Linked DNA regions of Rattus norvegicus. Each later gene encodes a partner of the first gene's protein in a complex. Links are inferred from orthologs where the notes say so. Each region holds a gene or a part of one and is shown on either strand. Other genes may lie near its edges. The genes, in order: Rad9a, Hus1, Rad1 and Rhno1.

What was found.
Region 2: the proteins of Rad9a (region 1) and Hus1 are in contact, whole or in part, in a crystal structure (PDB 3GGR), measured with the Homo sapiens proteins. The link is inferred for Rattus norvegicus from reciprocal best matches to the Homo sapiens genes RAD9A and HUS1. Residues at the interface, in NP_004575.1 of Homo sapiens: Leu157, Pro158, Pro161, Val176, Ala186, Lys191, Ala192, Met193, Val194, Thr195, Glu196, Met197, Cys198, Leu199, Gly200, Asp203; in NP_004498.1 of Homo sapiens: Thr84, Asn87, Arg90, Ala91, Lys93, Thr94, Phe110, Ser121, Ser123, Ser126, Arg127, Ile128, Val129, Thr130, His131, Asp132, Ile133, Pro134, Ile135.
Region 3: the proteins of Rad9a (region 1) and Rad1 are in contact, whole or in part, in a crystal structure (PDB 3GGR), measured with the Homo sapiens proteins. The link is inferred for Rattus norvegicus from reciprocal best matches to the Homo sapiens genes RAD9A and RAD1. Residues at the interface, in NP_004575.1 of Homo sapiens: Leu76, Ser82, Val83, Ser86, Leu90, Lys92, Leu112, Phe116, Gly117, Val118, Arg119, Lys120, Thr121, His122, Asn123, Leu124; in NP_002844.1 of Homo sapiens: Glu165, Ala166, Ser168, Glu169, Asn195, Ala196, Gly197, Ser198, Ser199, His200, Leu201, Asp202, Tyr203, Pro204, Asp206, Ser207, Glu211.
Region 4: the proteins of Rad9a (region 1) and Rhno1 are in contact, whole or in part, in a crystal structure (PDB 8WU8), measured with the Homo sapiens proteins. The link is inferred for Rattus norvegicus from reciprocal best matches to the Homo sapiens genes RAD9A and RHNO1. Residues at the interface, in NP_004575.1 of Homo sapiens: Val41, Ser44, Arg45, Ser46, Ala47, Tyr48, Glu130, Leu132, Gln133, Ala134, Val135, Glu165, Tyr181, Glu183, Thr216, Phe217, Cys218, Gly244, Pro246, Val261, Leu262, Ala263, Thr264, Leu265, Ser266; in NP_001239428.1 of Homo sapiens: Thr88, Lys90, Phe91, Pro92, His93, Leu94, Thr95, Phe96, Glu97, Ser98.

Annotation. Positions count from the first base shown.
Region 1 is NC_086019.1:210,921,363-210,928,760, forward strand, and holds the start of Rad9a (RAD9 checkpoint clamp component A), read right to left. Parts: upstream 3,800-7,398; 5' UTR 3,713-3,799; coding exon 3,679-3,712; intron 3,597-3,678; coding exon 3,526-3,596; intron 3,091-3,525; coding exon 2,962-3,090; intron 2,691-2,961; coding exon of another isoform or gene 2,599-2,690; coding exon 2,484-2,598; intron 2,403-2,483; coding exon 2,303-2,402; intron 1-2,302. UniProt on the Homo sapiens protein: Component of the 9-1-1 cell-cycle checkpoint response complex that plays a major role in DNA repair. The 9-1-1 complex is recruited to DNA lesion upon damage by the RAD17-replication factor C (RFC) clamp loader complex.
Region 2 is NC_086032.1:87,912,407-87,919,591, reverse strand, and holds the start of Hus1 (checkpoint protein HUS1), read left to right. Parts: upstream 1-2,457; 5' UTR 2,458-2,475; coding exon 2,476-2,527; exon of another isoform or gene 2,528-2,865; intron 2,866-2,954; coding exon 2,955-3,082; intron 3,083-3,162; coding exon 3,163-3,339; intron 3,340-5,229; coding exon 5,230-5,337; intron 5,338-6,342; coding exon 6,343-6,417; intron 6,418-7,185. UniProt on the Homo sapiens protein: Component of the 9-1-1 cell-cycle checkpoint response complex that plays a major role in DNA repair. The 9-1-1 complex is recruited to DNA lesion upon damage by the RAD17-replication factor C (RFC) clamp loader complex.
Region 3 is NC_086020.1:61,185,702-61,193,106, reverse strand, and holds the start of Rad1 (cell cycle checkpoint protein RAD1), read right to left. Parts: upstream 4,299-7,405; 5' UTR 4,054-4,298; intron 3,835-4,053; 5' UTR 3,770-3,834; coding exon 3,572-3,769; intron 2,128-3,571; coding exon 2,019-2,127; intron 1-2,018. UniProt on the Homo sapiens protein: Component of the 9-1-1 cell-cycle checkpoint response complex that plays a major role in DNA repair. The 9-1-1 complex is recruited to DNA lesion upon damage by the RAD17-replication factor C (RFC) clamp loader complex.
Region 4 is NC_086022.1:163,320,806-163,328,168, reverse strand, and holds the start of Rhno1 (RAD9, HUS1, RAD1-interacting nuclear orphan protein 1), read left to right. Parts: upstream 1-2,782; 5' UTR 2,783-3,111; intron 3,112-4,493; exon of another isoform or gene 4,494-5,526; intron 5,527-5,957; 5' UTR 5,958-6,041; coding exon 6,042-6,206; intron 6,207-7,132; coding exon 7,133-7,363. Other genes in the region: Foxm1 (forkhead box protein M1), read right to left, coding at 1-291. UniProt on the Homo sapiens protein: Involved in microhomology-mediated end-joining (MMEJ) DNA repair by promoting recruitment of polymerase theta (POLQ) to DNA damage sites during mitosis.

The DNA.
Region 1 (7,398 bases):
AGGCCTTGCCCCCATCTTCTAAGGATTTATAATGCTGAACGTTTATAGAAAAGTAACTCCTAGATTTGCCTCAAGACTATAGTCTTTGGGTTCTGTCCCTAGCATGAGATGGAGGTGGGGTATCTGGCATCTATATTTGAATTTTTTTTTTTTTTTGGTTCTTTTTTTCGGAGCTGGGGACCGAACCCAGGGCCTTGCGCTTCCTAGGCAAGCGCTCTACCACTGAGCTAAATCCCCAACCCCTATATTTGAATTTTTAAAACTTATTTTGTGACTGTGTGTGCTGTGGAGAGAAGAACAGCTCCGACGCTCTGGTGCACATGTGGAGACTAGAAAACCCATGGGAGTCCATTCTTCCACCATGTAGATTCTGGGGATTTAAAACCTGACAACTCAACCAGTCAGGCTAAAAAGAAACAGGCTTAACTGCTGAGCCACCATCCTGACTTCTATATTGAAACTATATGAGGAAGAGAAGCAGTTAGGGCTGGGAATTTAATTTAGCTCAGTGGTACAGAGTACCCAGCAAACACAAGGTCCTGGGTTCTGTTGCCAGTATTTAGGGGGGAAATAGCCCCTCCAAAAAGGAACTCTTATCACTATTAACAGACCCTGGGGAAGATGACACTGGGACCTGAAGGGACTTCAGTCTGAGAAATGAGTGGGACCTTGGGCTACTTGCATGCAGTGTCCAGCACAGGCAGGGGATGCTGGGAGAACCCACTGCATTCTGGGCTTCAGTGACCACCTTAATGTCAGCTGGAACACTCTCCTTGCCATGCCTTGTCTTGACGTGGGCTGTCGGGCTGTGCAGCAGCCCTCCTAGACTCCAGCTTCTTTGCCCAGGTCCTTCCTTTGGCCCAGAGTCTAGAGCCCTGGCAGTTAGGAAGAAGCCACTATAAGAGGAATATAACACTACCCGGCTGGAGAGATAGCTCAGTGGTTAAGAACACCCAACTGCTCTTCCAGAAGTTGTGAGTTCAATTCCCAGCAACCACAAGGTGGCTCACAACCATCTGTAATGGGATCTGATGCCCTCTTCTAATGTGTCTGAAGATAGGGACAGTATACTCATACATTAAATAAATAAATCTTAAAAAAAAAAAAAAAAGAGGGACACTACCAGAAGAGTGAGAGGTCAGAGGGCTTTGAAACTGTGACACAGGGTCAAGGACAGGCTGTCAGGGTTATTCAGGTCATACAAGAGATCTGCAGGGGGCTGGAGAGATGGCTCAGAGGTTAAGAGCACTGTCTGCTCTTCCGGAGGTCCTGAGATCAATTCCCAGCAACCACATGGTGGCTCACAACCATCTACAATCAGGTCTGGTGCCCTCTTCTGGCCTGCAGGCATACATGCAGGCAGAAAGCTGTGTGATGTATACATAATAAATGTTTAAAAAAAAAAAAAGAGATCTGCAGGCAGGTCATAGGTTCTCTCTAGACAAGCAGAGCAGGCCTCTGGGATACACAAGGCAGGACCCACAGTCAGTGGGAATGGCGAGAGACAGCAGCTTCTGTTCTTGAAGAGCAAGGTAAGCGATGTGTGGCCTTGACACAGAAACCCCGAGTTTCCGCCTTAGAGGCAAAGGTGCTTTTGTGTTGTGTGAACGTGCATGGGCAGAGGGCAGAAGACATGCTCAGTGCTGCTGCTTCTCAGGTGCTGCCCATCTTGGTGTTTGGTTTGGTTCCTTTTTTTAAAGACAGGGTTTCTCTCTGTAGCCCTGCTTGCCTGCCTGCCTGCCTGCAACTTGCTTTGTAGACCAGGCTGTCCTCACAGAAAACCACTGCCTTGCTAAGTGCTGGGATTAAAGGCGTGCACCGCCGGCCAACTGACATTACACATTCTTATCTAAGCGAGGACTCGGAACAGGCACCCATGCTTGTACATCACACATTTACTGAGTTATCTCCCCAGCATATGCACCCTTTTTTGAGACTGTCTCATAATACCTAGGCTAGCCTAGAAACTCACTGGCCTTGAAACTTCTGACCTTCCCACCTCCATCCAGAGGTGGGAAGCCCCACCTTGCTGCCACAAGGCGCTCTAGGAAGAGTTAAGTGCCCTCTGTATACACATGCAGCCTCAGAAGACAGGGCCCAAGCTGATGTCCCAACAACTCAAGAGGAAATAAACTGAGCCGAAATACCTGTCCACCATCACCCTGTAAGGCCGAGTGAACGCCAAGCCTAGGTTCCCCACTCGCCATCCTCATCTCATTCTGAGAGTGAGATATCCTAGAATAACACTTAAGGCCCCAAAGGTGGGAGAGACTCAGGTGAAGTCCGAAGCAGGCATGCTCACCGTGCTGGGGTGCGGAGTAAGTGGGGGCATGAGGCTGGGTCGAAGACAGCCTGCAGGGATTCACAGTCCTGGAAGGAGAGGTTGTGTGTCTTCTTGACCCCTGGATAGGGGAAATGGTCTCAGTGGGCTTGACAGCCTTCACTCCACTCCCCCACTCTTAGCTGGCCAGCTGCCTGCTCACCATATTTGCAGTGAAGCTGGACCACCAGGTGGCTGTTGCTGCCACTGAGGGAGATGCAGCACTTCTCCACAGTCTTCTCCACCGTTGCCAGAGAGCGGAAGACGGACAGGAAGGACTGGGCAGGGTAGGACATCGGCCTGGCACTCTGCTTCCATGGACCAGCTCTACATCCCATGTAGGCCCTGGTCCATCACTGGCCCAACAAAGCTGTGAAAGGGGGCTCCCACTGCATGCAGGATGTCTGCACATTACCAGGCTTGTCCATGCTGTTCTCTTTGCTGGGAAGGGCTGCTAAACTTTTCTTGACCAACCTGAATGTCACCACCCTCTCCAGTGCTCTTATAACCCTCTAGAGTCTAAACATCTCGACCTCACTGCATTTTGCATGGACTAGCTCCCATATGAGACTAACTCCCTAGTCATCATTTACTGAGTACCTGACACAGGCACAGCTGTGGATGCTTCAGGTGGTCCTTACCTTCATCAGGATCTTACAGCGCAGCAGATCCTGACCAGGGGAAGCTTCCTGGTATTGCTGGAAGAAGAGGGGGGCAAAGAGGAAGCAGGCATAGGCAGAACGGGAAGAGTTCACAGTCCGTAGGGAGAGCTGAGGCACAAAAAGCAGGGAAGATAATAGTCAGGGGCCACGTCAGGCTCACTAAATGCCCTGCATTTCATCCAGCGGCAGTTCTCTTCCATCGCTTCCTAATGAAACTCCCCTTCCCTTTCTGTGTGGCAAGACCTTCTTGCATGTAGATCTCCCAGTCTTCCGCGGCTCAGGGTCTGCCATGCTTGTTTTTCCCTTAAGTTACTTTAGCCCCACCTTGCCTGCCACAAGGCGCTCTAGGAAGAGTTAAGTGCCCTCTGTATACACATGCAGCCTCAGAAGACAGGGCCCAAGCTGATGTCCCAACAACTCAAGAGGAAATAAACTGAGCCGAAATACCTGTCCACCATCACCCTGTAAGGCCGAGTGAACGCCAAGCCTAGGCTCCCCACTCGCCATTGAATCGGCCCCCATCCCTGCGTCCCAGTCTCTTACCCCGTCCTTCAAGGGTTCCAGATAGAGCTCGTCCCCGATTCGGGATAGCGAATGGACAGCCTTTCCCAGCACTACGGAAGGAGAGCAGAAAGTGGTTAGGGGGACTCCAGGGGCTTGCTCACATGGTCTGCTGCAAAGCAGGTCTAAACTTACCCTTCACGTTGCCCCCAGTGATCAGGCACTTCATGGTACATAAACACTGAGGCCGAGCTTGTTTTACAACCAGACCGGGACGGGATACAACCCACAACGAGTCCCAGCAGCTACTAGGAATGCCTAAAGTTCTCTTCCCGCGCACCGTCCCCTCCCCGCCGCCAGCCTGGCCTCCGCTTCCTTATTGGTCCACCCGGGGTTCCTCCGTCACGTGAGAAAAACGTTCCTAAGCTCGGCGCCACGTGATTCAGTCGTTTCCTTGGGTGTGGCCTGGGTCACGTGACTACGGAGGGAGCGCTCCTGCGTCCTTCATCGGGTCTGGCTTTCCCACCCTGCAGAGTTCTGCTGCTCCACCGGGCTCCCACATTAGATGCAGTTCCGAGGAGCAAGGTGCCTGCACCAAGGATCGAGTTCTGGACCAGAGTCCGAACATGGGAAGAGTAGACCCTCTGGAGTCACTAACTTTAGTGTGTGGGGTTACAGGGTCAAGGAAAGTTCGCGCTCAATCAGGGCCAGGGATGATTCTGTTGTGGCAGCAACCACCAGCTCCCCTCAAAAAAAAAAAAAAAAAAAAAAATTAACGTAACTTGCTTCAAGAACCATGAAAAGAGGCTGTTCATTCTGATTTCAGGATCCTTCACTGACCTTCATAAATACACGGAAAGATCAGAAGGTTCTGGGACAGAAAAGGGTAGAAGGATGGGTCTGTCAGAAGCAGAGGCACAATGGGGTAGGACCATATGGCTGGGTGGAGTGTCCCGAGCCTTGAGCCCGTCAGGGCTGAAGGGATGAACTGGGAAGTCGTGGAAAGGCTTAAGCACTACACGTAGTTTGTGTACACGTTACCAATTACCCAGACAGTGTCAAGGATGAGGGCTATCAGCTGGGATGCATTCAACTTTCTCTGGGTTTTAGTTACTTCAAGTGTGAAAAGAACAGCCTAGAGCAACACTTGCATTTCCCTGCTGTGTCCTGTGGGTTAACGGGAAGTCTGTATTAGTTATCTAACTCCTCTTTTTTAGGCTCCTCTCCCTCTCTAGCTTCTCCTTTCTTAAAGCCTCCGGGGAGGAGACTGCTTTCCCATTCCACATCCAAGGCAACCAGTGTGAGCAACATAGAGGCGTCCAGTTCACTGTTAGACTGGAGTTAGCTGTTAGCATCCTCTCCTCCTCATCTGATCAGTTCTTCAGTGGATTCTGATTACTTTGTTACCAAACAGACGGCAAAGTGGCCCTCCTTGTCTCCACTGTCCTCAGCGATCTGCCTCCACCAGCTTAACTCTCCAAAGTCTGGTCTCTTAATCTGGAACTTTCAGGATCCAGGTCCCACATGTCTTCACTGTATCCTACCTCTGATCACCTATCTCCAAAGTCCTGTCAGGCCCTTGGCTGTCACTCTGGCTGCTTCCAAGGCTGTGGCCTGCTTTTCCCATGCTGGCTTCTCTTCCTAGGCTCAACAGCAAAGATTCCCTCGGCACAGAACACTCCATGGTGCCTATCAGTTTTCCTGTGTTTAATACTTGTGCTCCCTGCTGTTGTGGCTACTACACGTGGGCTGGAACTGCATCAGTTTTGTCTGTTGCTCTGTCTTGTGTGCGTCACACACAGCTTAGGATCAATAAATAGGTGTTAAGCCAGGTATGGTGGCTCATGCCTATAATCCTACCACTAAGGACTTTGAGAATTTGAGATGCCAGCCTGGGCCACATAGCAAGACCCTGTCTCGGAAAAAAAAAAAAAAAAAGAAAAAAAAAGAAAGAAAGAAAGAAAAAGAAAAAAAGGAGGGCCTAAAGAGATGGCTCAGCTGCTCTTCCAGGGGACCTGAGTTCAGTTCCCAGCAACCACATGGTGATCTGATGCCCTCTTCTGGCATGCAGGTGTACAGATAGAGCACATACAATAAGTACATCTTGAAAAGAAAAGAACGAAGTTGAATATGTGGCACAGTTAAGCCTGACTGCTTCAAGCCACCCTCCACCCTGTGCCCACAGTGCCCCCATTCCTGATAATTCTACTCTTCCCATACTTAGCCTCCCAAAATGTAACTATAGGCATGGTCGCATAGGTTTGTAATCTCAGGGTCTTGGGAGGCTGAGGTAGAAAGACTGAAAATTCAAGAGGAGGAGGGTTAAAAAAAATAAAATTCAAGGGATTTGAATTTGGCTCAGAGATTAAGAGCACTGACTGCTCTTCCAGAGGTCCTGAGTTCAAATCCCAGCAACCACATGATGGTTCACAACCATCTGTAATGGAATCCGATGCCCTCTTCTGGTGTGTCTGAAGACAGCTACAGTGTACTCATAGACATAAAATAATAAACAATTCTAAGAAAAAAAGGACAATTCAAGGCCTGTTGAGATTAGAGAAAGTTCAAGGTGAGCCAGGGCTGGTGGGGGTGGGGCATGAGATGCTTGCAATCCGGAGGACGTGAGCTCTACAGCCATCATCCACGGCAGAGGAAGACTCCTGAAAGCTGTCCTCTGACTTCCCCAAGTGCTGGCAATCTCAAACACACTAACAATAGATGAAAGAAAAAATAAAGGGCTAGAATGTAGCTCTAAGTACAGCACTTGCCTGACATTCAAAAGCCCTGAGTTAAACTACACCTGATGGGCATTCATTTAATTCCAGCAGAGGCAGAGGGCTGTACAGTGAGTTCCTGGGCAGCCAGAGCTACACAGAGAAACACTGTCTCAGAAACAAGCAAGCAAACACATGCGCTGGGTCAATCCCTAGCCCTGGGTCATTCCTTGTGCTGCTTGTTTCTTCCTCTAAAGATATCCTCCCATCCTATCCAGGACTGGGTGAGACATTCAAACACCCCCTACTTCCTCCCCTGCCTCCTGCCTGAGCAGCCAGTCTCAACAGGAGACAGAAGGCAAGGCTCCCTGGAATCAAAGAGAGGCTGTTGGATTAGCCTGTCTCTGTCCCTGACGTGCTGGGTGTAAGACGCTCCACCTGAGGTCCGAGGTCGTACATACTAGGAAAAGGGGATACTCTGGAGTGGTCACCCTCCTGCTTCCTTGCTCAATGCCAGAACCGTCTGTAGTACACGGAATGGGGAAGGACAGGGAACAGGATGCTCACCCTGGCCCCCTCCAACCTGACACTTAGATCCTGAGGGGCTCCTCTGTGGTGTAATCCTGGGGGAAAAACTCTCCTAGGTTGTTTCCCCATCCTATTCCTGGACTGTAAGTCTAGTAGGGAGCTTTTCAGTCCACCATTCTGTCTTGCAGTTGCAGACCCAGTCGTGCCCGAGAAGCACAGTAAGAGAGAAAGAGCTGGAACCCATGGATGCTATGTTGGGTGAGAGGTGGACTTGGGTCCATCCTGAAAGCAGAGCAAAGTGTGACTCCAGCTCCCCGTGTAGACGGCCTGGGACAAGTCAGGCCCCTCTGCATCTCCATTTCTCCCTCACATGCAGCTGGAAGAGATGGTGAGATGACCCCTCAGGATTCAGACCCCACTTACGGTGTTCACCTCACCCCATGTTGGAGGCAGCTTCCCACAGACGTTCATCTATGTAAATGCAAGTGTATCTGGGATGGCGATGAAGACTGGTTGCCACTTCAAATCCTCAGAATCTTTCTCTGTCAGGGATCCCTTCCTCTCAAGTGCCACTTCTCCCCAGCTGGTTAGGGCTGAATCACAGGAAATTGCACAGTGGGTGCAATTTTCCAAGTTTGGGACAAAGACAAGATAAAGCCCCCTAATCTCCAAG
Region 2 (7,185 bases), on another chromosome or scaffold:
AATTTTTCCGACACTAACCGTTAACAAGCCTGCAAATAAATTAGTCTCTTCTCCCCCCTGAGACTAGTGAAGAAGGACTGACAGGCACTGCCATGCCAGCTTTGGGTGACAGTAAAGGCATGTAACCAACCCAGGTTGTATATCCCCGCAGCTCTAAGGGTCTTCTCTGACCTCTAGCTGTATACACTGAATAACTTTCTTTGTGTAATGTATTTCCTTTCCTGAGACCAGATCAGGTAAGATGTTTTCCTCCCCAGTAAGTAAACACAACACCAACATTGCTCCACAGATCCTCATGTGACTGAATTGCTTGCCCTGGAGGTTTGGCCTTTATAAAATCAAAAATCCATTTACTGGCTAGATGGAAAAAAAACAAGCAGACATTGCACTAGAAAATGCTCTGGCATATATGACTTCCGGAACTCTCTAGAGTGTTTTTTCTTTTGTCAACAAAATCATTTGGAAGGAAAATATGGAATGTCAATATATTTAATTATCAACTCTGAAATCACTGGCTTCGATTTCTAAACCTACTTAGCCTAATTGCTAGAATATATTATTAGCATTTTCTTCTATGAAAAGATTATCAGAGTTTTCTTATATTTTTGTTAAGTAAAATTCTTACGTTTCCTGAGACTCATCAGCAAGGAACATGCTGTCATCATCATTACATAAATCTCTTCTTAGGAATATTTTTAAAATGTGTTGCCATTTTATTACATAATATTAAGCTGTTTAAATTAAAGATCAGATATAATGGCCCTTCTTACAAAGTGTTTTTTTTTTTTTAAATACTGTCTTATGGAACTGGGGAGATGGCTCAGTGGGTAAAGTACTTGCCTTGAATCACAGGAAATCAGGCTCAAATCCTCACTTAGCACACGCACGTGCGCGCACACAGACACACACAGACACAGACACAGACACAGACACACACACACACACACACACACACACACACACACCCACCCCAAATGGATTTAGCTAATATTTGTAATTCTATTGCTCCTATGGTGAAATGGGAGACGGAAATAGATGAATCATCGGGAGCTACGTTTCAGCTAGCCTGGGTTATTCATCAGCTGACAGCAATGACAGACCGACTCAAACAAGATGGTTGTTTAGTACTGAAACCAGAGATTCCCCCTTTGACCTTCCCATGGGCTCCAAGGCATGGACGACCCTGTGTACATGCACGCACACACAGACAATACAGCCTTTAACCACACAATATATGTAACAATTACCTTACTTCTTGTGACATTTGATATTTCAAAGTTAATGACACTTGGCTTGCCAATCACTTCTATGTCGGAGTGTAGAGTATAGCTTCCTGTTATATATATTTTTCTATTTTTTACTTTCCCAGTAATTGCACCATCAGCTGTTTTATTAATATCTTAACTCTGTGTCTCAAGGTAAAGACAGTTTTTGGAAAAACATCTTTCTTTACTGTTTTTGTGTAGAAGTGAGCATGCTGATGCATACACAAGTCACATACAGAAGTCAGAGAACAACTTTTGAAATGACACCTGGGATTTCAGGGCCCAAACTCAGGCCTTCATGCTAAACACTTTTACCAGCTGAGCCGTCAGAATATTTTGTTTGGATATCTGGTGCACTGGAAAGAGTGCTTACCATGAAAGTGGGGAGCTGGGGTGGGGGACGTTAATCCCAACACCATTTTAAATTTTTACAGGTATAATCCTTGTAAAACCAAAATATTCTATTCTGGGTTTAAAATTCTTTTAAAACAATTCTAAGACTGCTACACTAAGAGGGCTTTTGTTTGTTTGTGGTACTGGGATTAGTGCAAAGGTCACAATCCTTTTCAGCAAGTCCACTCGTGTTCTCTCTTTCTCCTCTTTCTTCTCCTCTTTTTCTTCTCCTTTCTTCTTTTTTCTCCTCCTCCTCCTCTTCCTCCTCCTCTTCATTCTCCTCCTCCTCCTACTCCCCATCATCCTCTTTGTCCCCCTTCCTTCTTTCATTTTAAAATAATATTTGTTGGCATAATGTCATTAAGACATGCAGACAGGTCTCCAACCTGAGATCCTCTTGCCTAAGCACCCCCATTAGCTGGGGCTAATAAGTATTTTATAGGTTCCGTTCAGTTTCTTTTGAGACAAAGGTGCAGAATTATCACTTCACTACATCTGTTTTTAGAGGTAACTACTGAGTAAAGTGTTCAAAATTTAAAAAAAAAAAAGTTTCAAACAATTTTCAAAACATTAAAACGCTATGTTGCCAAGTATCTAAACTTTTCGGATCCGGTTCCCAGCAGCCTTCGGGGTGTGAGAGTGTGGGTGGACGAGCGAGCGCGCCTAACTTAATCCAGGGCAGGCAGTGGGCGGACCTCTCCGGCCGCACCGTCCCCCGCGGAACCACTGTGCGCGCGTCCGTGTTTCCCCACCGGGAAGCTCGGGGAGGGACTTTGGTACGCCTTGGACTGACGCCGCCCTCGGCCTGGTATCCGCCATGAAGTTTCGTGCCAAGATCGTGGATCTGGCTTGTCTGAATCACTTTACACGTGAGCTGGCAGGGCTTCGGGGAGCGGGCGGAGAGTGTGGCTGCAGCCCCTGTGAGAGGACTGGCGGGGTGAGGGCGGCTCTAAGAGGGAAGGAGGGTTAACGGGGACCTTTCCTTTGCTGCCCTCACTCACTCCTCTTTCCGCCCGGAGTTTGCCTAACCTTGCTAGCAGTTCTGTGCTGCGGTGTCTGACTGATTTTACGTTTCTGTGGAATGTACGCCCGGCTCCCGGTTGTCAGTTGTTTTCTGAGGCTGTTTCCTTATTCTGTTTCCGTCTTGAACTCTGGTGCTGTGGGCTGAGTCTCGCAGGATGTTGGGAGACTGGCAGGACGTCCAAAGGTGATTTGTGAGCTAGAAGTTCTTTCCGCAAGATGACCTATAGGACACTCAGTGTGCTGCTTAGTTAACTGTGTACCCCCTCGTTGTAGGAGTCAGTAACATGATAGCCAAGCTTGCCAAAACCTGCACCCTCCGCATCAGCCCAGAGAAGCTGAACTTCATCCTCTGTGACAAGCTGGCCAGTGGAGGCGTGAGCATGTGGTGTGAGCTGGAGCAGGTGAGCAGGAGAGCCCAGGTTACCCTGGTCTCCAGCTAAGCATGCTGGGAAGGCTACAAATGCCTGTTTCTGTCCTGCAGGAGAACTTTTTTAGTGAATTCCAAATGGAAGGAGTCTCTGAAGAAAACAATGAGATTTATTTAGAATTAACGTCGGAAAACTTAGCTCGAGCCTTGAAGACTGCCCAGAACGCCAGAGCCTTGAAAATCAAGCTTACTAACAAGCACTTTCCCTGTCTAACCGTGTCCGTAGAGCTGGTAAGTGGGAAGAAAAGGATTTCTGATTTTTTTTTACAAGTGCCTTGGTCTAGGCAGTATATAGATGGCTACCAGCCTGAGCTTTCAAACAATATTCATAAAAGTGAATTAGTTCTATTTAAAATATAAATCTGAGTCCAGAATGGTGGTACATGTCTTTAACGGCAGCACTCAGGAAGCAGAGATAGGAAGATCTCTGTAAGTTCCAGGACGACATAAAGACCCTGTATCAAAATAAAATAAAATAGAAGATCTGGTTCATAACTTATGCATGAGAAACGCGCATTGTTCTAGTCATTTATCAACAGTCATGATGGTACAATGTTCTATGAGATACAGCTTTTCCCAAAGAGTCAAACTGCTAACTAGTATCTCTTTCTTCTAGAGTGTTGTCACCTTGTCTAGATGTTTCCATTTTCACCTTAACATTGCCCCCTCGTATCCTGTCTTCTGTGATATTCTTAAACAGTCCTCATACTTCAGTAACACATTTGTCTTAGATGCTACTACCAGATGAGTGTAGTGCACAGCCTCTCCTCAGAACACACAAAAGCATGTGTATAAGATGGACTTTTTCATTCCTAACTTGTTCAAGGTCTTTCACGTATGGTTCAAGCAATCTTGGAGCCAAACCATCAATTATTAGCTTCTGAGTGCCTCTCTAGGTATGTCTTTTTTGCCCAACTCCCGTACCAGTGACATTGGTTGGGCTTTCCATGTGGAGTTTCTCTCCAGGACCTTCCCTTCCTTCAGTGCTCGCCCCAACCCACTTGGGTCTTCCTTATTTGTACAGCCTTCCTTTTTTACATGCTCTGTAGACCAATATTGCATTTGTTTTCAAGCTGTTAATTAATTTCAAGAAGTTAAATTGCATGCCTTCATAATTTGTATGTGTTCTTAGAGCATTCTGTGTAACTGTATGTTTGGATTTATTTAGTTCTTTTGTTTGTTTTGGTTTTTGAGTTTTTGTTTTGGTTTCTTTGTAGCCTTGGCTGTCCTGGAACTAGCTCTGTAGGCCAGGCTGGCCTCAAACTCAAAGATCTGCCAGCCTCTACTTCCCAGATGCTGGGACTAAAGGCATGCACCACTGCTTAGTGGATTTATTTAGTTTCTTAAGCAAAAGCGAGATGGTAATATTCGATACTTTTCTAAGTAAGAATGCAAGAATTTTCGTTTCTTTTTTTTTTTTTTTTTTTTTGTTATCTTGTTTTGATACAGATTCTCAGGATGTAGCCCTGACTATCTTAGAATTCACTATGTAGGCCAGGCTGAATTGAATTTACAGAGATCCACCTGCTTCTGCCTCGTGTGCACCACTGCCCAGCAGTACTTTGGTTTTCGAGTTTTAGAAATGCTTCTAGTAATAAACATGGTTTATCCTTTTAGTGTTGCAAAAGCTGCAGCACACCGAGGATGTGGCCTGGCGGATTTGCCTTTTTCTCTCTCCCAGGTTTACGAAAGCGGATGCTGTTCCTCTGACTGAAACCCTGTCACCTTACCTTCAGCTTCTTGACAGTCGTCTGCCTCTCTAGTGTTGATGTCCTCTGAGGCAGCACCCCAGAGGTTCTCACTTACTCCTCCCCACCATCACCTCTCGCTTCCTCAGCCTCGTTGCTGATGTGCTTTCCTCAGGCTCCGATGAGTATCCAGTACATCTGTGGTTGCCTGCTCTCTTGTCCATCCGTCTTGTCTCAGTCACCACACTGTTGGGAGACTCACAGGGCCCTGAGCAGAACAGGCACAGCACACCAAGAGCATTGATTGAATGCAGTTTGAGTGAACGGATTAAGAACATCCCAGTTGGACCGGAAAATGTTTAGCATCAGTTCTTGTGTTTTGGCTTTGTTTTAGCATTGTCAGCATAAACTGTTCTCTTTTTTTTCTTAACAGTTGTCTTCATCAAGCAGTAGCAGAATTGTGGTACATGATATCCCCATAAAGGTTATTCCGAGAAGACTGTGGAAGGACTTACAAGAACCCTCCATCCCAGAATCTGATGTAAGTGTTGTCTGCAGTCCAGTGCTTGAACACACAGTAAAGGGCAGGGTTTGAATTCTCTAATGCTAGTTGTTATCTTACAGTGTGTTTTATTTGAAGTTGTATAGTTTCTGAAAAAGAATGCGAGTCATTTAACAAGACTCCAGATGTGAGTAAGTGCCTTTCGCTATATCTGTAAATCCTGGAAAAGAACTGATACCCATTTGGAAATGGCACACTTTCCGTCCTGGAGGGCAAGTGCCTTTGCTCAGTGATGGCCTACATACAAAAGAAAACAGCCTAAGCTATGCTTTGGAAGACAATCTGTATTTATCATGACCCTTGGCCATAAGCACCAATGTTTCATAGGCCTTGATGAAGGAGTCAGAAAAGGCATTTTGTTGACTTGAAGCTTAGGTTGGCTATGGCACTTCTAGGAACCTCAGAGCCGTTGCAAGCAAAGAGGATGCCGACTGGTCCTCTGCCTTGCCTATGTGAAAGGAAATTACTCAGGTAGTGAATGAAATGTGCAGCTGACAGTCATCAGAAAGCGTCTGTATAGGTTGAGGGGAGCCAGCATTGCAGACGGCTCTGTAGGTAAGACAGTTCAAACGAGAGGTGATGCTGTCTGGCTGTACTCTTAAACACAGTACAGCAAAGACCCCTGAGTCCTATAAATGCTTCCCAGAGGAAGGCTTCCCGCTCAGCACTTGACGTGCGTTCCCCTTGGACCTGCGTGTGGGCATCTCAGCTGAAGTACTGTGTTCCTTCTCGAACCGTAACAATGCCCTTGGGAGTATGGTCGCCATGGTAACCAGAGCCAGGTATTCAGGTATCTTTACTTGCTTGACTAAGTTAGCGACGTTTTTAAAGTTTTAAAGCAACTTTATTTGGATTTTTTTTTTTAAAAAAATGTGATTCTGAGTTTTTAAATATGAGCATCATTCATAGCTGTTGATTGAATATCTGTCATTATAGACTATATTATGATTCCTAAGGCTTGTGATTTCTCCTACTCGTTTTTAGGTCAGTATTTATCTACCAGCCTTGAAGACAATGAAGAGTGTCGTGGATAAAATGAGGAACATCAGCAATCACCTTGTAAGTTATTACTCCTTCCGAAAAGAGCTGCGAGTGAGCCTAGCTCTGTGCTCTGCTCATCCTGGGAGGCAGCTCACTCTAGTCCCCGGGGTAGGCGCTCCGTCACCTGAGACACAAGGTTTCTCTTCACTAAGGCCCCACTGGGAAGGACAGAGCTTGGCTTCTAGGGACCTTTCAGCTCTTACTCACTGGGGAAAGCATTCAACTTGCCTTTAATCTCTCGTGTTTATAGTATATCAGAAGCACAGTCAACAGTTCTGGTATTTTGTTTCTTGTAATTCGGACAGAACATTGCAGGTTTTGTTATTGTTATTAATTCACTTACTTATGTCACGTCCCGAGTACATTATGTTACATTCCATTGCAGCACAGCTTCGGCTCCCTCTTCTCCTGCCAGTCCCTCCCTGTCACCTCCCCTTCGTCTCCTGCCTTCTCACTTTCCTCTCAGGAAGAGGGGAGATATTCCCTGGATACCAGGCAACCTTGGCATGTCAAGGTGCTGTAGGAACAGGTGCGTCTTCCCCTATGGAGGCTGGAGAAGGCAGCCCAGTTAGGGGAAAGGGATCTACAGGCAGGCAGCAAAGTCACCGATAGCCCCTGTGCCCACAGGAAGATGCAGTCGCACAACTATTACATATGCACAGGGCCAAGGTCGGTCCTGTGCATGCTGTCTGGCTGGCTGTTTAGTCTCTATAGGCCCCTGTGGGCCTAGGTTGGTGGATTCTGTGGGTTTTCTGTATCATTCTTGACCTATCTGGCTCCTTCAGT
Region 3 (7,405 bases), on another chromosome or scaffold:
TCATTGGTGATGTAATTTAACACGTCAAATCCCTACAGAGGAGGGATATAAAATATCCTGCTCCTTCCTACTGGTTAGAGAGCAAGTCAGGGATATGGGAAATCAAATATTCTCAGGAAAAACTGAGCTGAGGAACATTGCATTTGTAAATGCATAATTAAAAACATGTATTTACTATATGTGTATGATGGCTATGAGTGTGAATACATATATACATGACATACATGCTCATGGATGTCATAGAAAATCTCTTGAGAATTGGTCCTCTCTACCATTGGACCTAGGAATCAAACTCAGGTTTTGTTGAGCTCCCTTGGTAAGCACTTTAATAAGTTATCTCATCTGCTCAAAGTGTGAAATTGGACCCAGCTACAGATCACGACTAAGACTTGCAATCCTAGGGGGTCACAGCAAGTTCCAGGTCATCTAGGGTACATTGTATGGCAGAGTACACTGTAATCCCAACACTCAGAAGTTAAGACAGGCATACCTCAAGTTTAAGGCCAACCTGAGTTATACTCAGGACCCTGCAAAACCAAAACTTAATTATGGACCTGCCAGTGCAAAGCCATGAGTTACTTCCCAATGAAATAAAGCAATTCTCGGATTCTTTTGGGATCCTTCTGGACTTATATACAGGGTAACTGAATTTCCTAGTCAACGGTCAACTGGGAGTCAGCAAAAATTTGCTTCTCTTTGCCTCTAAGTAATTCTGAGTAAGTTAGAATAAATATGTAATTAAAACATATTTCACATTGCTAAAGATATTTTAAGACTTTAAAGTCTTTTGATTTAAAATTTTTACAAAAAAATTCTTTCAAGTTATTTATGAGTACACTGTCGCTATCTTCAGACACACCAGAAGAGGGCATCAGATTCCATTATAGGTGGTAGTGAGCCACCATGTGGTTGCTGGGAATTGAACTCAGGACCTCTGGTAGAGCAGTCAGTGCTCTTAACCACTGAGCCAACTCTCAGAGCACTGTGATAACTAATACTGTTAACTTGGCAGGCTCTAGCATCATCTAGGAAACAAGCCCCCAGGCACATCTGTGATGAGGGAGTTTCCTGATCAGGATGAGGTTGTAGGAGCCCCACCCTAAATGTAGGTAGCACCACTTTAAGGGCTTCCCTCTTAGACTGAATAAGAGAGCCAGCTTCCTGACTGTGGACAATGTGAGCATTTGCCTCACGCTCTTTCCTTGCTTCCAAGCCCTTCCTTGCCACATGGCCTAAACACTCCAACTGTGAGCTGATATAAACCTAAACTGCTTTGTAGGTCATTTTTTTCTACAGCAACAAGGAAGGTAACAACTTACCCTGCATAGTAAGATGAACTAAGATGAATGAATGCCTTCACGAATATGTAAAGAACTGTAAACAAATACTCATCTGGCAGTCTGAATATTTATGTTTATGATTGTCATCAGTGGGAGGAAAATGAGCTGAGAATTAGTTTCCCTTTATTCTTTGAAATTTTAATCCATGTAAACAAATCCACACCCTAATTATTAGGGTCTACTTATTAGGGTTAGGGTTAAGGTTAATGTTCCCTCCCTAGGACCTCCAAAGAAATGATTTTCTCCTCTGCTCCCAGCTGCCAAAAGCTCCACTAGGAGTGGGACCCCAGGTCTTCCCTGAGCAATTAGATTTCTAACAAAGGATTGGCTGGCTTGGGGCTGTAGCTCAGCTATAGTAGAGAGCTTGGCTAACATGTACTAAGTGCTAGTTTCAATCCCCAATACCACATAAAACTACAGGTGGCTGCCTATCTTTATCATCTCCTCAGTCGAGGCAAAGGCTGGAAGGTAAGTTCAAGGTCATCCTCAGTTATACAGACTGCTCAAGGCCAGGCTGGGATACATAAGACTGCCTCCAAAAATAAATAAAACATAGAAAAGCTCATATCCCAGAAGTCTTACTGTATTTTCTATGCTTTTAACCATAATAAATGTTTATGCCACAACAACAGTAGTAGTAGTAGTAATAATAGTAGTAGTAGTAGAAATATAGTTCACCTGGTGTAGGACTTGATCCAAAAATAGATAAACAGTCTAAAAGGATAGTTAAGTTAATTCGAAAAGTAACGGATTCTTCCTGAATGATAAATTCTTGAAATACATCAGCCTAGGAAAGAACAAACATGCAAACATGAAAGTGAGGTCATAGTAAGGAATGAAAAATTCACACATGAGAGTTTACATTTCACTTTATGCTTAGAAAGTAACCATACTGTGCCAACTCCATGAGACTATTTCTCATTCCCAACTAAGGCATGCTAACTTTGCAATGTTTATCACTTGAATACTACTTGATGGTTTAATCATTAAAGGTGTAACACTAAGGCCCCATTTAGAAGCTCCTGAAGGGGGTAGGGGTAGGATATGATGAAAATATATTGTATGAATTTTTTTTTTGGTTAAAAGGGAGTAGGAGAGATGGCTCATCAGTTAAGTACACTTGCTACACTTCCAGAAAACACGTTTGATTTCCAGCACCCACATGGTGACTCAAAACCATCTGTAACCAATTTAACCATAATAAATGTTTATGCCACAACAATAGTAGTAGTAATAGTAGTAGTAGTAATAGTAGTAGTAGTAGTAATAGCAGTAATAGTAATAGTAGTAGTAGTAATATAGTTCACCATGGTGACCCAACACCCTCTTCTGGGTTGGGCAGGAACCAGGCACATGCCTTTTGCAGACATTCATGCAGATAAAACATTCTTACACATAAAATTAAAAAGTAAAAACCAAAACCAAATAAAAAACCACAAAGACAACCCCTCTCAGCAAGGGTCCTTCATTTTCATTTCTGGATCTAAATCCACTAAGTTTATCCTAACTTTGTCTTTTGTGCCTATCAGTTAAAGCTAAAGTCACTTCAGGATAGGACAATTTAATAATGCATGCATGATAATTATTTCCAATTTCTTTTGAAAACAGAAACCATGTTTTATTTATTCCTACATAATTGTGAGTTGATACTATACTCAAGCGTTCAAAAACATGAATTGAACATTGAGCTCCGACCTGACTCATACAAATACTACATAAGAATAGATTATAGCTGTGGGTGATGGTGGGGCTTTGATGCCAGTACTTCAATACAAGGCAGAAGCAGGCTGATCTCCAAGAACTTGAAGTCGATCTAGTCTACAAAAGCAAGTTCCAGGTAACCAGGGCCATATGTTAGACTGCCTCGGGGGGAAAAATGCTATTACAGCCAGTAAGAGGAAAAACTAAAACATGCATTTCAATAATTATATTGTAAAGAGTAAACATTCTCGGTTGTTATCCTAACTAAATAAGACTATTGAAAATTAAGTCTGGTGCCACTTATGTCAAATAGGAAAGATAAAGTGTCTATAAAAGGTAAATGGTGATGAGTGTCTCATTAATAAACTGTCACTAGTAATCGTTCATCTGTGTGAGACAAGATGGGGAAAGTATTTGTTGGCAGGAAAGAAAAAAGTAGGCATTTTGTTCTCTAACTTGAGTTTTATGGAATAAGTCCTTCAAGTTAAACTCGTTAGGGAATGCTTAAAAATGTCTCCACTCCCCCATACCTGAATAAAGGCATTGGCTTGCACACACTTTGCATTTTCCACGGTAACCTTGATTCCATTTTTAGTAGCAAAACACGTGGCGTGTTCTTTGAAGTGAATGGCTTTCAAGACAGTGGAGAGATTCCTAACGTTGTCAAGGCTGGCCACTAAGCAGTACTGTTCGTACTCATCCTCATTGTACTGGGTTAGGAGAGGCATGGGTGGACCACTGTACGTTCAGCTCAGAGAGAAGGATGCTCCTCTTCCGGAAGATCTCCGAAAACCTGAGACACGGAACAACAAACCCCGCGATCAGTGCTAACAGGACTGGCGATCTCAACCCGAGCCGAAATCGGGAACATTCTATCTCCATGTCTCAAAACTACGGTTTCCTTGTCTGATACAGCCGGAAAATGCAATTCACTGGGTAGTTCTAATTGGCGCGGGTTCCTACAGGGTAACAAGAGCACGAGGCCTGCTTAGCCCCTCTGAGCGCCACCAACCTTAGCCCGCCACAGACACCTTAGACCGCGGCGCCGACCGTCACCCAGCTCACCAGCCCGCTCGCCGCACAGCGGCCACTAAGGGGAGCCCCGGGCGCCAGGCCCCTGCCTTTGAGGTGACGTCCGATCCCGTAAAGCCCTTGTCAGCCTAGCCCCAAGAAGAACACCCTGAGAATCCAGAAGCCAGCAAGCCTGGCAAACAGCTCCCGCCACTGTTCAGACCCGCAGCCAACCAGGCCACCGTCACCACCGAGCCGCCGGGTGCCTAGATAGTCTACCACAAGACCGGAAGAAAGCGTCTGAGAGCTGGATGACTAACTCAGGGCTCAGCGTGCACTACCATAGAGATCGGAAGAAGGAGCGAGCGGCGGAACCGGAAGTGTGGACAGCAACTAACGCGGCGAGGCAGGATGGCGGCGACTAAGAGAAAGCGGCGTGGGGACCTGGAGGTTCAAGCAAAGAAGCCAAAAAAGAACCGGAAAGATGCCGGGCAGCCAGCTAAGCAGGCCGATGTGGCAAAAGAGGCGGAGGAAGAAAAAGATCGTATTCCAGGTCCTGTTTGCAAGGTAAGAGGCCCGACTCCTGGAGTTGGAGTCGGCTTCCTGACCCGCCTTTGAGCTACCGAAGTGACTTCAACCAAAACTTGACTGGATTATGAGCTTAAGGTTCCCTTGACTGGACAGGACAGTGTTATGTCTAGTTTTCGTGCAGATGGCCGTATTCCTGGAAACCGCTGTTCGTAGACCCTTAGCCAACTAACAGGGAGGTAATTTAATGAGTATTTAGTTCTAATATTCTGCCTTCCGGTTACTGGTCCCCCGCCTCCCCAGAGTAATGTTTTTTCTTTTTCTTTTTTTCCTCAAAGTCTTTATGGTGTATCAATAAATTCCTTCCATCTTGGTCCATATCACACGGGGTTACCAAAGTTTGTTTGCCAAGCCTTTAAAGTTACTGTCCCTGTGAGTCCAACTTGTTTGGTTAGATCTTTAATTCAAAGGATAATAGTATTTTTTTTTTTTTTTTCGGAGCTGGGGACTGAACCCAGGGCCTTGCGCTTGCTAGGCAAGCTCTCTACCACTGAGCTAAATCCTCAACCCCGGGATAATAATATTATCAATAATAATAAACTTAGACCATTAATTTTACTGTGCTCAACAGTGCGTCACACTTATACCAAGATGAGCTTTCCTGGCCTTGGCATCTAGGAGACGATGAACAAGATTTCTTTCCTCCAGAAATACTGGAGTTTAGCAGGAAAGAAGGCTTCATAGAAAACTGGGTTTATTCTAAAGGCGAGCAGGTTCTTGTTAGAGTTACTTTCCGTCACCTGAAAACTCCTTAAGCAAGGTATATTTATGGAGGAAATCTTGCCTCAGACTTTTCTGACCTTTGTGCTTAGTGTAGTACTCTAGTACTAAGTAAAAAGTAAATGTGAAAGGCCAGTGTATATTGTACCCCAGTTTTAATTAACAGCTAAATCTCATACCCTTGTCTGAAAGGATAAAAGTGACTTTTTCGAAAAATAAGCTGGACTCATAAGGTTTTCAATAAAAGTCAGTGCTCTCTTTTAGGAGTCAGACAGAAACATGTTGGGAACTGTAATCTGAGTCACACTATGATACATTAATTGAAGTTAATGAGGCAATTACTACTTTTAGGGTGGTAAGGAAACATGTAGGACTTAGCCTTTTAGCTGGATTTCAAAGAAAGGGTTCAATTTATATATTGGGGGGGAGATGAAAAAAATTCATCAAAGGCATTAAATGGGGGGTAAGGGTTGGTGGAGAAAATCTAAAAACTCAGCTGATTAGCTGAGAATGTGCAGGGTCAGTGTTGGGCAGTGGTGTTGTAAACAGTGAAAATGCATTTTATAGTCCATGTTGAAGTTTGGAAACCAAGATTAAATTGGTGCTAGTTAGCTGTCACAGTGATTCTGTCTGGGAAAGCCAGGCATTCAAGAGCTTTGCAGCTGTTGATAATCAGTTATAGGGATTTAAGGACACTGTAGGCTTTACAAACTGTTGTAAAGAGGAACTGATAGTGGTCAGTGGTGCTTATGATGTCTGTGAGAAACCAGAGGCAAATGGGATCTTCAGAGTATGAGCCCCTGAAGTGAGGTAGCAGAAGGAGGGAAGGGCTAAAGAAGGGGGGAAGAAATATTGGTAAGGAAATATGCAGGTTTAGGCTTGGTAAAGTTTAGTGTTAGAGTTGAGTTTGAAGCTTTACTCTGTCTGATACATGTATAATTAAAGCTAGAAAGAGTCTTGCCTTTCTGTACAGTTAAACTGGAAATGAACATAGGAACTGTAATGGGGAGAATAAAAAGTTAAAGATGTTAGGGGGCTAAGGAAAGATCCTTGCAGTGGTGAGGGTGGTGAAGTAGTCCGTTTCGTTTTAAGACCTTGGCCTATGTTCCCAGGACAGCCTTAAAGTCCTGGTCCAAGTCCTCCTGCTTCAGCCTCAGTACTGGGACTAAGGAAGTATATCAATGATGCCTGATACTGGAAACTTGAAAAACTGTCAAAAACACACGAAGTAAGTTCAGCACAAAATGTTAAAATCTACCGTTTTCTTTTCTTTAGGGCAAATGGAAAAATAAAGAGCGGATCCTCATCTTTTCTTCCAGAGGAATAAATTTCAGAACAAGACACTTGATGCAAGACTTGAGAATGTTGATGCCTCATTCTAAAGCAGGTACGCTAGCATTGTGCTTTACACTGTGTGTATAGACCTGACTAACATATTTACATATTTACCTGTTTGCTCGGCTTTGTCAGGTAAAGAACCACAGTACACTACTACAGGTTGCTGGTACAGTCTAGTCAGTTAAGTAGAGGAGCTGAGGTTAGTCCCCAGAATTGGCAGAAAGGGTCTGGGTGTGGTGGCACAGGACTACTACTCCAGCTCTGAGAAGGTGGAGGCAGATGAATACTTGGGGCTTGATGGCGAGCCAGTTTTGCCAGGTGGGCAACCTCTGCCAGTTTAAGGACCCTGACTCAAAAACAAGGTGAGCAGCACCTGAAGGAAGACACCCTAGGGTGACCTCTGGACTGATGAAAACACACACACACACACACACACACACACACACACACACTCATTCACTTCAAAAGTTCACTCAAGTACCACATTTTAAAAGAAATTCTTAAATTATTAGAAGTTATTGACAAAAGTCCACATGTTATTTACTTTTAAAAATATCCATCTTAATATAGAAGGGTTTCCTAAAAATTCAAGAGCACTTACATTACAGTAGCTTCTAGTGGTCAGAAGATGGATGGGATATGGAGGAAGGACTGGCGTGCATTGCTTCCTAAACATTTAAAAACTTTCATTTTTGAGACAGGGTCAC
Region 4 (7,363 bases), on another chromosome or scaffold:
CTCTTTCCCTTTGGCAGTCAGCGCTGTGATGATGCTCTGGATGTCCGCGTTGTTGGGGATAGCCACCACTTGTGTGTTGGGCATGGTTGGGTGGTTGATAATCTTGATTCCAGCTGGAAATTTGCAAGAGCTGGACTCTGCCACATCTTGGGAGGCCTGTGCTTGAGTAGGCTCCTGCTGTCCAGGGGATCTCTTTGCTTCTTCCTCTGAGGTTTCACTCGGGGCATTTTGAATAGGAAGGGGCAGCCTCCGTCTCTTGAGAATCAGTGGCCGCCGGGGGCTGGTTCTCATCATGAAGCTGTGCTTTCACTCTCCATCGAGAATCACAAGCTTTGACCCTGCAGAGGGCAAGGAGAAGCTTGCTATCAGATCTGCTGGGCTGAGACAAACTGGAAGTGTTCCTCTGCATGAACAGACAGAAGCAGAAGCTCAAAGGCCCAGGGGAATCCTGCCTGGACCTTTGTCCAACCCTCAGACAATAAGGACAGAAGCTAGGTTTGATGCACACTTGTGATCCCAGCACCTAGAAGGTTTAAGGTCACCCTTAGCCAGAGAGTGAATTCAAGGTCAGCATGGGCCACATGAGACCCTGTCTCAAAAACAAACGAGCAAACAAGAACAAACAAATAAAGCCCTATCACTGACCAAGGAAAGCTGAAAACTGCAGCAAACACTTCAAGATGGGAACATGGGACTGCACTGAAGTGCATGGTCCCCTGTAAGCTTAAGAATGTTTGGCCAGGCTGAGAATGTAGCTTAGTAATAGAGTGCTTGCTTAGCAAGGCCCTAAGTTCAGTTCCCAGTACTACAAAAAGGCAAACAAACTAGAAAGATTTGGGAGGGAGGGGAGGCTGGCAAGATGGCTCAATGACCGAAACCATCAGCTGCTAAGCCTGGCCACCTGCATTCAGTCCCCAGGACCACGATGGTGGGAAGAGAGAATCAGCTCCTGACTGTTACCCTCCAACCTCCATACATGTGCTGTGGCATGTGGGCAACCCTCCTCCCCAACCCCCGCCCCAGTAAAAATGCAAAAACCTCTTTTTGAATGTTTGGCCAGAGGAATACACATCTACAAGAATGTGGAAATACCAGCCACTGTCCACTAGAATGCAGGTCACTCTCGATGACTGTAGGGACGAATGAAAGACTCTACCCAAGCCATAGTCCTAGTGCCCTTTTCTTTCCGTCTCAAATAATGCAGCTGACCTACACGTCTGATTCTCCTGCCTCCACCTGCCAGAATCACAGGTGTGGCTACAATGCCAGGTTTAGGTAGTGGTAGGAATTGAACCTGGAGCTTTGTGAATGCTTGGTAAGCACACTACAATTAAAAACTCCAATCCTCTTGAATTAAAAATAATTTTTTTCAATAGTTGTCAATAACCACTGAGCCATCTCTCCAGTCCCATTCTTTCTTTCAAAATCTGCAAAGCATTTGCACAGTGACATTTTGGTACTTGAGAGTAACTATATTTTAGTTTTATAAGTATAATACTTGATTTTTCTGCTTCTAAAGACTGTAATACAGATCTTCTCCATACCAAAATGTGCTATCATTAATATGCTTAAGGTGGCTTTAATTTTTGAGATAGCGTCTCATGTAGCCCAGGCTGGTTTTGAACCACTGAGCCTTTGGCCCCCAATTTTCTAGGTGCTGAGATTACAGGCATTCACCACTATGCCTGGCTATGCTAAAGTCACTTTGAAATGCTAAGGAAGGAAGTCTTTAGAAAAAGCATTTCATAGGTTTTTATAGATAGATAGAATAATTTATCATTAAATTAAATCCTGCCACTCCATTTTGCAATCCTGCGAGAAAGGGAGAAACAGCCGGCACTTTAGGAAACCTTCCAAAAAGTAATTACACTTTTTTGACATTTGCCAGCTGCTTAGCCTTCTTAGGTCCCTTCCTCCCTGTAGCTTTCTCTCCTTTATACTTCGTTCTCTCGACCTTCAAATCTCAGTTCTCGTTTTGCTTCACACTGCACCCACCCCAATCAAATGGTAGACACCCCCCACCATAGGGTACCTCTCTCTTTGACCAGCCTTTTCCTAACACTCCCAAAATCTTCTAGCGCAAGGCGACTTGCAGAGCCATCCCCAAAGACCCCATTCTCCACACAGAACCGGGAACCTTGCAACGCTCAGCTAGGATCCCACCCTGCAGCTGTGGAGGCGGAGGCAGGGTTGACTGCAAGTGCAGACTCAGAGGGCAGGCCTGTTCCCAGGGTCCCGGGGTGCTCGGAGAACGCGGCGGGAAAGCCGAGGCCGGCGGCTCAGACTTTCTTCCTGGCGGTCCTCAACACCCCCTCGCGCCCCACAGCCCCGGCAGTCCCGACTCCAAGCCCTCCCCGGACCGGGTCGCACCCCACTCACCTCACAGGCCACCGCTGCTCCACGCGGGGCCGAGCCAGGCCAGGGCGGGCGGGTCCCGGCGGGACGGCCGGGGTGGGAACCCGGGGCGGGGTGGGGGGTGAGCCCGGGCCGGGGGTGGGTCCCGCAGCGCCGCTTTCAGTTGTTCCGCTGTTTGAAATTGGCGCCGGCGGAGCGTTGCGGTCACGTGACGGAGCGTCGCCAATCGGCACCGGCTTGTCTCCGGGTTCCGGCCCCGAACGCTCGGCGTCCTGAGGAGCGGCGGCCGCGGCCGGGAGGGCGGGTAAGGGGGCCCCGGAGCTCGAGGGACGGCGGGAGGGACGCGGGGACGCGCGGACCGCGGCCAGCAGCCTGCTCCGCCCCGCCCCGGACCGCCCTGCCTCCGTGGTCGACTTCCTTCCGGGGCAGCGTACGCCACTCCCCCGGTTAGCTACCCACTGGGCTACCTCTGGATCCACCGCGCGGCTCAGCCCTCGTTGCTGCGTGGGGTCCAGCTTGGGTTTCTGTCCCCAGACTTGCGGTTAAGTGCCCTACGCCCCGCCCCTGTCTGTGGCCGCCTCCACCTCGGGCCCAGCCCCGAGGTGTCCGGACGATCTTTTTTCCATACTTTACGAAAGAGTGGAAGGTACAGTGGCAGACCGGGCCGTCCTTCCCCTGGGCTCACCGGTGGTCTGATGGAGAGGGAGCCCAGAATGAGATGAACAGATCGGTAGAATTCTAGCTACAGAGGAACAGGTTAGAGGCCGGTGGGTTTTGTCTGACCCCGGGTATCCCCATGTGTAGAATTCTCGATTCTCGTGTTTCCGCCTTCGGAGTAGCCCGGGTCACTGGCTCGCCCTCCCGCAGCCGCCAGTGATAAATTTGAGTATTTATTTTAACGAGAAAATCTTGACTTAGGGCAGGAAAGCCTTTCTTTTTCCTTTCTTTCTTCCTCTCTTTTTCCTTCCTTCCTTCCTTCCTTCCTTCCTTCCTTCCTTCCTTCCTTCCTTCCTTCCTTCCTTCCTTATGAGCTGAGAACAAGGTGTAAGATCTGTCACCCATTACACAGAAGGGAAGGAAACATTGAAGCAGCTAGATTAAGAAGGGAGATGTTTGGGGCTGGGGATTTAGCTCAGTGGTAGAGCGCTTGCCTAGGAAGCACAAGGCCCTGGGTTCGGTCCCCAGCTCCGAAAAAAAGACCAAAAAAAAAAAAAAAAAGAAGGGAGATGTTTTGACTGGAGGAGGCTAGGCTGGTGAACACAAAGGCTGAAGGTCACAGGGATTTGAACTAAGACTTAGGGGGCGTGGTATGCTATGAGATGGGGAGCAGATAAAGACTGTGTTTGAGAGGTGAACAGGTTAGAGGCTGGTGGGTTTTCACTGACACCAGAATGTGGTGGCTCACGCCTTTAATCCCAGCACCCAGGAGGCAGAAGCAGGCGGATCTCTGTGAATTCCAGGCCAGCCAGGTATTCATAGCCAGCCCCAGGCTAGCCAAGGCTACATAGTAAGACTCTATCTCAAAATTAAAAAAAAAAAAAAAAGGCCAAGATTGTGCAAAACCTGACTTAGATTTTGTTTGGGTAAGTATATAAGAGCTTATCTAGATTAGACAGAGATGGGTGGGATATGGCCCAATTTCATGGGCTGTGGGCCTGGACTGACTAAAGAGAGAAAGCTAGCCGAGCAGGAGAGTTCATCTTCTTCCTGCCTGTTAAAGGGATGTGCCCAGCTGCTATGATTCCAGCAACAAAGGACTACCCTGGAACTGTGAACCAAAATAAGCCCCTCTTTCCTTCACTTGCCTTCCAGGGAATTTTATGATGGCAACAGAAAAAGCACCTAAAACAGTGGGGCATGCCTTGGGAACCAGCACTTGGGAGGTGGAGACTACACAGTGTATTTGAAGCCAGGCGAGGCTATGCAAGACCATGTCTCACAATAAGACGACTGGTATACAGCCGAGTGGTACCGTTATCGCCTAACACGCTGAGGCCTGAGGTTCAATCTGAAAACTGAAAGGAATGCATTTTTTTCAAAATCATGCAAGGGGAAAGATAGGGGAAACTAATAGATCATATATGGTCAGGATTGAACCAGCTGGGTACTAAGTACATGGGGCTCATCCCGTAACTCAGTTGACCCCTCTTTATGTTCTAGAGAATCTGTGGGCTGTTTTTTTTGTTGTTTGGTTGTTTGTTTGTCTTTTAACAAAACCTAGATGTGAGCCTAAGCTTCTATCTGAAATTCTGTAATGATTGATTACTCAACCCCCACCCCACTCTCATGTGGCCTCACTTGGTTTTCAGACTCAATGTTGACACCATGTTTAATATTATTTTTTTTGTCATTTATCCTTTAAAACTTTTATTAAAAACAGGGTCTCACTTTGTATCCCCCACTAGCAAGGAGCTCACTAAATAGATCAGGTTGACCTCCAGCTCAGAGAAATCTGCTCCTGAATGCTGGGATTTGAGATGGATGTTACCACCTCACCTACACCTAGCCTCTTTTCCTTTTTTATTTTGTTAGCTAGATAGTCACATCCTCATAGATAGTGACATTGTGTGTGAGGACACATGCCTGTGAGGACACACATGCCACACATGTGGATGTCAAAGGACATCTTTTGGGAATTAGTTTCGGCCTTCCGAGTTCTTGTGAGTTCTGGAGAACACACTCAAGCCCTTGGTTTTTGAGGCAAGTTCTTTTACTGCTGAGCTATCTTTCACTCAGTCTGCAATGACCTTGTGATTCTCTGAATTCACAAAACAGCGTTTTGGCTGTTTAAGGTTTCACGTGACTCAGGGTGGTCTCTCACTAGCCAAAGGCAACCTTGAGCCTCCTGATCCTCCTGTCTCCCTTCCCTAGGGCTGGGATCCTAGGCACGCCCCACCGCATCTGGTTTGGTTTGGCTTTTGAGAGCTTTTTGTGTGCAGCCCAAGCTTGACTTGAACTCCAGATCTCTTGCCTCAGGTGTGCTAATTAGCATGTGCCCCCAAGCCCTCTGTAACGGTCTTTGCATGTGGTGCACCTCAGCCTCCAGTGACCTTCCTGGCTTTTGCTTCTCCTGGTTCCTTCCACAGGTTAAGTGTCTTCCTACCCAGAAAGCCTTCTCTGACGAGAACTGAAGCGGACTGTGCTATACTGAGATGTGATTGTTTCCTTCTGGTTAGCTCTCTTCCTCTTCCTTTCCTTCTTCCTTTCCACGGTTCCCTCATTTGCAGTTCTGGGGACTGAAACCTGCAGCTTTGTGCACATTAGGCAAGTGCTGTACCACAGTGCCTCAAAAGCAGGGACCTCTGTGTCACTACAGGTACTTAGTACTCAGTACTGTGAATAAGTACTTGCCCATCTTTAAAGTCTTTAAATCGTAGCACTCAGTGTGTCAGAATACCATGAGTTCAGCGGGTGCTCACTGAGTGAGTTTTGTTGAGTATGGATAAGATCGTATGTTTCTCGTGGTTTGGTATAGGAAGCTGGTTTACCTACAACCTGAGGTCTGATTGGTGGTTTCTGATAGATTGGTTACCCTGACGTCATGAAGAATTGGGGGAGGGGTGCCACCCACATGATCCCCCCCCTTTGTTTCCTCTCTCCAGGCATGGTTTGCAACTGGACTCTGACCCAGACCAGGAAGGCAGCCTGCATCATGTTGTTACTAACTGTTCTTCATTTACCCATTGATGCCTCCCCGAAAGAGACGCAGACAGTGCCAGAAAGCCCAGCTGCTATTCCACCAACAGCCACTGGAGGGCCCCAAACCCCATTATGAATCTCACCAGCAGCCCATTACCCACACTGTACAGGTGCCCAGCAAACCCATTGATCAGAGCACCATCACTTCCTGGGTGAGTCCTCGCAATTCTTTGACCTTTGCTGTGTTACGTTTTTCAGAATCCTGACTCTTAATCCTTTTGGAGCAGGGACAGGGAAGCAGTTGCTCTTTCTGGCTGCAGTTACCTGATTTGTCTGGTATATCCTCTTTTCATTCACACTAAAATATGTTTTATATGGAATTGGAGTCTTCCTGCCAGGTTCCTCTGAAAAGTTCTGATTGAACACTTCACTCCCCAGTCACTGGGTGAAGAAGCTAAAAAAAAAATGACCAACTTATAAAAGATTACTTCCTGTATTTCATATGAAAAGTACTAGGTACTCTACAGTTGACTGAACTTTAGTGGAGAAACCTCCTACAAAGGTGGCGTGCTAATTCACGCAAGTTCATCGTTGGGGAGGCTGAGGCAGAAGGATCTCAAGGCAAAGGCCAGCCCGGACTTTACAGTGAGACTGTCTGACAAAAGAAATTCATACGCACTGACTGAATGAACATGCAGATTAGATCCCACACCTCAGCAGTCTCACTTACACGGAGCTGCCGGTCGTATTTGCTGAAGACCTTCCTGCCAGGCCCTCGCCAGGTGTTGGAGACAGTCCCTTTGTCCCTACCCTCTTGAGGGCGTGGTTTTGCTGAGGACTGAACTGAGTGTGCAGAGCATGTGTTCTGCTCCCGAGGACAGAGTTAAACAAGCTTGAGCAGTGGAGTGTGGTGGCCATGAGAGATGCCTGTCTCCTCTCCTGCTCAGGAGCAACTGGAAGAGCAGGGCGATTGGACAGCTGGCCCAGGTCCCTTGTCTTCCTGTTGTATCACATAGCTGGGTTTTTATTGTAGTGAGTCCTCACGATTCTGGACAAAAAATAAAGGGTTGTACATATTTACTATAGTTTCTTTGTAGTCGGCCCACCACCACCACCATCTTTCTTTTTTCATGCACAGGTGTTACCTCAGTTTGATACAGCAGCAGAAAGCCGGTTTCCAACACACCGGAAACATCACCGAGACCAAGCAAGACACCCAACTCGGAGATCTACCTGCAAGTTTCCACGTCTAACCTTTGAGAGTCCAGAGTCTTCGAGTTCAGAGACATTGTTGCTATCCAACAGAGAGCAGCTCCAGAACTCAGAAAAGGATGCTCCCAGAAGGCCTTTAGTGCCATTGTTCAGTCCC